Cricetulus griseus: one gene and its partner. The protein of the gene in region 2 interacts with the protein of the main gene of each other region in a biochemical or structural test. Links are inferred from orthologs where the notes say so. Each region holds a gene or a part of one and is shown on either strand. Other genes may lie near its edges.

Evidence for each region.
Region 1: the proteins of Fzd7 (region 2) and Dvl1 form a complex in vitro, tested with the Homo sapiens proteins (2 studies listed by BioGRID and IntAct, with this or other methods). The link is inferred for Cricetulus griseus from reciprocal best matches to the Homo sapiens genes FZD7 and DVL1.

What each region holds. Positions count from the first base shown.
Region 1 is NC_048595.1:435,007-439,390, forward strand, and holds the start of Dvl1 (segment polarity protein dishevelled homolog DVL-1), read right to left. Parts: upstream 2,813-4,384; 5' UTR 2,511-2,812; coding exon 2,341-2,510; intron 121-2,340; coding exon 7-120; intron 1-6. UniProt on the Homo sapiens protein: Participates in Wnt signaling by binding to the cytoplasmic C-terminus of frizzled family members and transducing the Wnt signal to down-stream effectors. Plays a role both in canonical and non-canonical Wnt signaling.
Region 2 is NC_048595.1:413,755,510-413,759,894, reverse strand, and holds the start of Fzd7 (frizzled-7), read right to left. Parts: upstream 3,086-4,385; 5' UTR 2,216-3,085; coding exon 497-2,215; 3' UTR 1-496. UniProt on the Homo sapiens protein: Receptor for Wnt proteins.

The DNA of each region.
Region 1 (4,384 bases), about 410 Mb from region 2:
ACTCACTCTGCTGCCATAGTCACCAGATGAAACATCAGACACTTGCACAGGGCCCACCAGAAGCACAGAAGTCCTGCTACTAAACATTGGAGGTCCAGCCAGGGTGAGAAGAGCCACAAGCTGCACATAAGTGGGCATGGAACAACAGACCTTGACCTTATTGGTGAGAGATACATGTTGGGAATTGAGCCCAGCCCAGGGCAGACTCTGCTCCTTATAAAGTAGCCAGCTTTGGTCTCAGCTTTGGTCTGGAGTGGGGCAGGAAACCCAGACTCACTAGGATACTCCTCACAGACTATTCTGAGGCCACTTGCCCAGCTTAGCCAACCCTGCTGAGCTTCCCTCTCCCAATATTAAGCTACTTAGCCTGGTATCCTTGGAGCTCTGTAGACAGAACACAGGCAAGGAAGTGAGGGATGCAGTTATGTGGGGAGGAAGGGCTGCTCTTCCAGGCTCCCAAGGCCACTATGCCATCTGAGTACCAGGTCACAGTTGGGGTGAGGCCTACTGACATGCTGCTTGTGCCTTTCTGTGTCATCCTAGCCCAGACTCTACCTCTTAGCTGCTCTGTCTCCTGGTTCATCCACACACCCAGGACACCCAACTTGCACCTCTGTGCTCTCTGCTAACTCCATACCTCATGCCCCAGCCATTCCCAACCCACCCAAAGGTACTACTCCTGCTTCAATAGCCAGATCTGCCACTCCACCTCCTTAGTCAGGGCACCTGCAGGTCCTCCTGAACACAAACACAGCTTAGTGGGGGCCCATGTAAGCTGATGCTGGGTTACTACTCTTAGCACACCCTACTCAACGTGCATATGAAAGCAGAGGGACAAGTACCCTCAGGAGACACCCAGAATGTTTAGCAAAAAGCAACCCAGGTCTGGGTCTGCTCCTCATCACCACACCCAAGTTTGTGAGAACAAATTTGACTGGTGATTTTTATCTAAAATAATAAATTTAATCCAGAGATGCCCTGTTCCTGAGAGCAGAGACAACAGAGGTGGCCCAGCCAGGACAGTCGGGGAGACCAATCTCCAGCCTCCAGGCAGATGGGGAGCACCAGCCTTCAATTTGTGGGGACATGCTCCCCTTTGCTTTTTCCTAGTGGTTGGGGCACAGGGAATGGGTAAGCGAGAGAGTTTAGTTGTACAAACCAGGTTGAGCCCTGGCTAGATGCCCAGGGTCAGGGAGAGATTCAAACTTGACCTGACCCATGGGCTGCCCAGGGACCCTGCAACCATGAAATCCAGTAAATAGTTTCAATGTCAAAGTCCTGAGATGCAGCCACACAAGGGCACCAAGCACACCTGCTCCACCCACAGGGCCTGAGCATGCCCCCGACTCAAGCACTGCCAAGCCATGGACTCAGGTTTCTGTGGCTATGCCCAGTCAGGCCTCTGTTGCACTGCCAGTCCCTGGCTCATTGTCTCAGAGGCCCAGCTTAGCTCAAGTAGGAAGTCCCTTCTCCTGAGACAGCTAGTACAGCAGTGCAGTTAGGAAACACACTACCTTAGAAGCTGGCTCAAGTCAGAAGATAACCTGAGCACCTCCCAGGAATGCAAATGCTGTGTGGTTCAGTAAGGACAGAAGCACAGGAGCCAGCAACCAAGGGGGCAGGCTGAGTGAAGGTTCTTAGTCTCCAGTGCCCCTTGACCTCTGCCTTGCCACTGGGACTCTAGAGGGACCACGAGGAATCTGCAGGCTTCAGAAACTTTTTCTGAGCTCCAGAAAACAGATGGGTGCCTATGACCAGCCCATTCCACACTACCCCATTTCAACTGAAGGATCCCTGAGTGCTGGGAGTCACAAACACCTAACCCTTTCCCTTAACCCCAGCCCCCATAAAATGCACACCCTCCAGGGCAGCCACCCACTCTATGGTTTCCACCCATAGAAGAGGAATGCAACAGGACCTGTGCTTGACCAGAGACAAGAGGAGGTGGCTTTGAGGGTGGCCTTTGGCACCCCGCCTGGACCAGCTGTGCACAGGGGCACCACTGGATGGCGGACAGAAAGCCTGGGCCCTAACCTGTCCATCAAACAGAACTCTCTCTCTGGCCTACCTAAGAGGGTAGGTAGTCAAGAACTCGGATTCCCAGCTTGCCAGACAGGTGAGTACAAACACCATGGGTCACCAAGGCGCAGAGACTCTACTTACACCTGCTGTAGAGGCGCGGCAGGGTTGCCGGCGCCGGGGGCGCTCTGACGTCCCCAGACCCGAAAGCCCTGCCCCGCACAGACAGGTGCCAGCTCGTGCCCGCACGGGGGCCCGGCGGGCACCGCACACGCGCGGGAAAGGGCCAGCACTCCCGCCCAGGCCGCTCGGCCCACTGACCCGAAGTCCTGGTCCATAGACTTGAAGAAGAATTTGTAGGCGTGCACCGGCCGGTTGCTGAGCACGTTCTTGAAGTCCGCCAGCGTGACGCGTTCGGGAGCTACCGGCAGCTTGACCAGGTACGGCGTCTCCTCCTCGTCCATGTGGTAGATGATCTTGGTCTCCGCCATGGCGCGGCAGCAGCGACGCGGAACCCGCGCAGCGTCAGGGCCCGGCTCACCTCTCGGACGCGGGGCGCCCTCCCAAACCGCCGGCCCGCGCCCCGCCCGGCCGCCCCGCGGCCCCTTTGCGCGCCGCCCGCCCGGTCCCGGATCGCACCCGTCCCCCGCCTGTTGCCCCGCGGCCCGCGGCCGCCCATCCACTGCCAGCCCCAGAGCGGGCTCGAGGGAAGCAGCTGAGAGGGTTACTGCCGCCCACCGCCCCCTCGGGCTGTTCCAAGACAGCCTGGCGGGGTTGGGCCCGCGGCCACCAGAGGGCGCAGCGGAGCCGGTGACGTCACTGGACGCCCGCAGCGCGGGTGGGGCGGGGCCACGCACGCGCGGGGCGGGGCGGGGTGGGGTTACGGCTTGCGCACGGGAGGGGCAACCAGGATGGGACCCGGCGGGTTCGGGAAGCCTAACTGGTTAGGTCACTCCGTGCGGTAGCGTGGGGCGGGGCTTTGAGTTCCCCTAGCCAGGAGCCAAAAGCTGTACAATGCGCTCGCCCCGATTCCCGATAGGCAGGAATTCGTGCGGCGTCTGGGTCTGCGGTTTGTGGGCAAATGGGCACGCTCGGCCCCAGAATAGCAGAGACCCAGAAAAGGTTGTGCCTTGTGAGCCAATATTATCTGCCAGAGAGCTGAGGAGCGTCGTCGGGCTAGGCCTGTCCAGTTATCCCACCCAGTTCCCACAGTGCTGACAATCAGAAGGCGCTCGCTACTCTGGGGGCTTCAGGCGCTCCACAAGAATTTGAAGATACCTATGTCTAACCCAAGACAGCGAGAGCCTTACTGCGCCTCACGCTATTCCTGAGCTCAGTTCTTACGCACACTGCCTTGTCCCATCGGATCCCCGAAGAAACTCAAAGGAGTGACTAGTGACGCAGGTCCAGGTGTGTGCACAGATGTCCAGGCGAGGCCCGGGCTGCGACTGAAGCCAAAGGGATTTTTGCCTTGGACGTTGTAATCAAAATAGCCAGGTGTCTTCCCCAGGCCAAGGAAGACCGGGATGCACCTCAACCTGAGATTTGACCCACTTATTGCCTTGCTAAGCTGAAGGCCTCCCCTACTCCAGGATGGCCTAAGGCCCTTCGTTGGCCATTAATAAGAGTGGGGTAGCCGGGTGTTGGTGGCGCACGCCTTTAATCCCAGCACTCGGGAGGCAGAGGCAGGTGGATCTCTGTGAGTTCGAGACCAGCCTGGTCTACAAGAGCTAGTAACAGGACAGCCTCCAAAGCCACAGATAAACCCTGTCTCGAAAAAAAAAAAGAGTGGGGTAATGCATAGGATACTGGCCAGTGATGGAGACAAGGGTGCCTATTGTGATCTGGGACCAACGCCAGACACTACGCCTGCACAAGGAAAGACCGTCGCACCACTGTTCTGAAGGACCTAGAAGTTAGCACTGAATTTATATTAAAGGCCACTGAAGTCAGCCTAAGCAGAGTTCTTCCCTTTAATTCCTTACTCCCAACAGGGGCCTGCTATCCTGGGAACCCATACTCCCTTTGCCAACATCTGGTCCTCTTCCTTGGATCTCTACAGAAGTAACCCGAAGCAGCTAGGCAAGATGACTTCAGAGAGTCTGCTCAAGGGAGAAGGAAAACAAGCTGTTTTCTGAGTGTTCCTCGGGTCAGACATAAGATCCTACTGATCAGGAGCTGGAGAGATGGCTCAGAGGTTAAGAGCAGTGGCTGCTCTTCCAGAGGTCCCGAGTTCAATTCCCAGCAACCACATGGTGGCTCACAACCATCTGTAATGAGATCTGGTGCCCTCTTCTGGTGTGCAGATATACATGGAAGCAGAATGTTGTATACATAATAAATAAATAAAAAAAAAAAAAGATGG
Region 2 (4,385 bases):
TTGACCACCGCTTGACAAGGGCACCACAGGGGGCCCCCATCTTCCCAACAAAGCCCAGGCTGCAGACAGAACGCTATCTCCCCCCTCCCCCGGCCTCACTGGAGCGAGGACAGCCACTTGCCTTGCAGCAGGGATTGGACTCAACCCTGGCTCAGCTCTGGCGCCGGGAAGAACTCACCAAATCTCTGCTGATGTCAACCTTTCCCTCAAGGCCCTAGTCGGCCTATATCTTTCACAGTTAGCACCGTCCTGCAAGTCTTAGTCAGAAGTCTTTTCAACCACCCTGCCTTTTGACTTTTCACTCAGGCCCTCTCTCAAAACCACCTCTAACCCCAAATCTCTTCTCACCTCCAATTAACTTCTCACTTCCATGTTAAAGCTCAGTGGAGGAGGGGGTAGCCTACAGAAACAAGTCCCCACCCAGCAGTTCTTTCCCTACCATGCCTCTCCTCCTACAAGGAGGGAGAAGTGGCAAGGTTGGGAGAAGGACCGGGGCTCATACCGCAGTCTCCCCCTTGCTGCTGTGGCTGAGTCTGTGGTAGAAACGACGCCATGACTGCAGGGTCTTGCCAGACCAGATCCAGAAGCCGGTAGTGATGCCCACGATCATGGTCATCAGGTACTTGATCATGAAGACTGTGAAGTCGGGGCTCATGGGCGGGAAGTGACCCGGAGGGCAGGGCACAGCGTAGCTCTTGCAGGTCTGTAGGAGCCAGGTGCGCTCCCAGTGCTCGCGGAAGGCCTGCTCGTAAAAGTAGCAGGCCAGCACGATGGTGGCCGGCACCGTGTAGAGCACGCTGAAGACGCCGATGCGCACCATGAGCTTCTCCAGTTTCTCGGTCTTGGTGCCGTCGTGCTTCATGATGGTGCGAATGCGGAAGAGAGACACAAAGCCGGCCAGGAGGAAGGACGTACCGATGAAGAGGTAGACGAAGAGGGGCGCAAGCACGAAGCCCCGCAGCGCATCCACACTAGACAGGCCCACGTAGCACACTCCACTGAGAAGGTCCCCGTCCACCTGGCCCATGGCCAAGATGGTGATTGTCTTGACTGCCGGCACAGCCCATGCGGCCAGATGAAAGTACTGCGAGTTAGCCTCGATGGCCTCGTGGCCCCACTTCATGCCAGCTGCCAGGAACCAAGTGAGGGACAGAATGACCCACCAGATGGAGCTGGCCATGCCGAAGAAGTAAAGCACCATGAAGAGGATGGTGCAGCCCTCCTTCTTGGTGCCCTGCGCCACCGTGCGGTAGCCATCGTCCGAGAAGCGCTCCACGCACACGGCACGGTCCTCCAGCAGGAAGCCCGCCACGTGCGCCACGGCCACCATGAAGTAGCAGCCCGAGAGGAAGATGATGGGTCGCTCTGGGTAGCTGAAGCGCCGCATGTCCACTAGGTAGGTGAGCACCGTGAAGAGCGTCGAGGCGCAGCACAGCACCGACCACACACCCACCCAGAGGCGGGCGAAACGCCTCTCCTCCTCTTTAAAGTACATAAGGCCGTTAGCACGGCCGGGCTCACACGGGGCACCGCAATCGCGCTCACCTAGGAAGCGGTAGCCCAGGTAGGGGGGCACTTTGAGCTGGCGCGGGCACGAGAAGGGGAAAGACCACCGGCCTCTGCCATCTGAGGGGGGCATGGCAGTGAAAGGCGGGTCTGGCAGGTAGGGAGCAGTAGGGTAGGCGGTGGGACTGCCGCCCGCGCCCCCGGAGCCGTCAGACGTGTTCTGGCCCACGCAGATCTCGCCGGCGCCGTGCACCGGGAAGTTCTCGCAACGCAGCCGCTCAGGCCACTGGAAGCCGAACTTGTTCATGAGAGCCTCGCAGCCTTGGCGGGCGCGCTCGCACAGGGAGCGGCACGGAGGAATGGCTTGGTCGAGCACCGTGCATACGGGCGCGTACATGGAGCATAAAAAGAAGCGCAGCTCGGGAGAACACTGCACCTTCACCAGCGGGTAGAACTGGTGCACCTCGAGGCCGGCGTCCTCTTGGTTCGTGTGGCCCAGCAGGTTGGGCAAGATGGTCTGGTTGTAGGCGATATCCGTGCACAACGGGATGGAGATGGGCTGGCAGAAGCCGTGGTCCGGTACCGAGATGCCCTTCTCGCCGTGGTACGGCTGAGCCCGGGTGCCCGCAGGCAGCGCGCCCAGAAGCGCCAGCAGCAGGGCGCACAGGCCCAGGGGCGAGTGCGACGCCGCAGTGCCGGGGCCCCGCATCGCGGGCCGCGAGTGCAGTGGCGTTCTCAGCTGGGGGAAAAAGACGAGGCGCTGGGGAGCGGCTTGGATGCAGGGAGGCGCCGCCGCGCCCGGCGCATGAGAGTCCTCCCGGCGCCGGGGCCGGGCCGTGGGCGGCGCGGAGCCGAGGGCGCTAGGTGCCTGCACGGCGGGGGCGAGGCCGCCAGTCGAGGGGGCGCCGCAGCCGCCTCCGCGTGGCACTCACGCGGCCGCCGGGGGCTCAAACTCCTGGGCCTGGGCTGGGGGATCGGGGGTGGGGTGTCGCCTTACCCTCCCCGCCGAGACGTAACGGTGCGGCTTTCTCTTGGGCGACGGGCTCCAAGCGTCTCCGGTTACCTTTCAAAGTTTGCCCAAGTCTCTCGAGCCCCGGGCGCACGGCGATGCCCACGTCCCCACACCGGGTAGGGCCTCCGCCAGACCAGAGCCCCGCGTCCCCGCCTGCTCGCCCCGGCCGCCGCCTCGGCGGTGCAGCTCCGCCTTCTCGCCTCGAGGCCCCGCGGGCCGCCGCCTCCTCCTCCTCCTCCTCCGAACCTCGAGCCTCCTTCAGCCCGGGGAAGGTCGGCCCCAAGTTTCAGTCAAACGTCTGGTTCTCAATTTGAGTCCGATCGGTCCCCAGGAGCTAAGAGCTGGGCGAGTTCTTTTTGGAAACCCAGTTGCGCGGAATCCCAAGCGCCGAGGCTCCTGCACCCGCGGCCTGTCTGCTCTCGGCCTCTCCTGCCGGCTCAGTCCCGGCCGGCGAGTCCCCGCGTCCGCCGCCGCCCGCCAGGGAAGGAGCGCAGAGTAACGCCTGGGAGCCGCGCTGGTGGCTAGAAGAAGCGTCGGGCTCGCAGGGTTTCGGGCCGCCCCGCCCCCTCCCCTCCCCCCATTCACAAACCACTCCGGGGGCGGGCCCCGAGCCCTCCGGAGGCCCAATAGCGCGCTTTGTTTTCTCTGTAGACGCCTTCCGATTGGGTGGAAGTCGGAAGGGGCGGCCGAGGGAACGAGGAAGGCGGTGCCTGAAGCGCTCTGGGCGGATTCCTGAGGGGAGGGGCGGGGGACTGGGAGAGAAAAGTTAGGAGAAACTTTTACCCAGAATTTGCTCAGGGGAGAAGAACGCACCAGAAAGGGAATTTGTTTGAAAGATTGGTTCCTCTTCCGGATACCCTAAAACACACATTCCTGAGCAGAAGGGCGCATTCGCCAAAGGCTTCGGCGAGACGCTGAGAATAGCGCAGCGCTTGGGCGGAGAGACGTGACCCAGAGTCACGTTAGCCTGGCTGGCTTGGGCGGGAGGCTTTTGGTTAGCATCAGTGTGGGTCGGGAAGGGGCTGCGACTGAAGATCGCTCTTTTCTCCCCATACCCAAACGACCACATGAAACCACAATCCCCTCTCCCTCCCCCCAGTTACAAAGAAGGGGGCCTCCTGGAAGGAGAAACCCGAGTCGGCCGAGGTGGGGACTTGTGGCGGGAGGAAGTGCAGACCCTCGGAGGAGAGGGCCCAGAGCTGGGGGTGCGCGGGACTCAAGAGCCAGCCACCCCGCCCGCGCGCACTGTGGGGAGCGTAGGGAGCCCGAGAGGTTGGGGGTGGGGTTGGAGGACGCTAAGGCAGTGCTGGGGGAATGCTTATGAAAGCAACCTGAGACCGAGTACCCGGGACTCTCCGTACGATTTACTGAGCGCCTTCGGTTGCCCTGTGTGGCCTTCGGGGGTCCCGTTTTCGTTGCAGAAGCAACCATTTGATCTTTGCATTTGGAATCTACATAGAAAAGTTTTAAAGCGCGTTAGAAACCAGGGCATTTGCTAATTAAAGGGCTTTTGAGACACAAAGAGGGGTTATTTTCCTTCTGGGATAGCGTTTTTCTGATTGGCAAGCGTTCTTTTGTCCTCGGTCAAATCTTAACCCTGCTCCAGGCACTGGGCGCTCGTGCGCCTTGTCTGCCTGTCCCGGACCGGTCGGAAGTTACTAAGGGACCTCTGCTCTCTCAGAGGGGCCAGCAAGGAATATCATGAATATTATGAATTCCCGGGCAGGGAAGTGACAAGTTGAATCTCTCTGTCGTCCCTGAAGTCTTACTTTCAAAAAAACGTCATTCCTGGCTGAGTCCTACTTTCTACCTGTCTCAGTTGGTTGCCGGTATATGAGAGATTTTTGATCAGTTTGAATGTTGAATG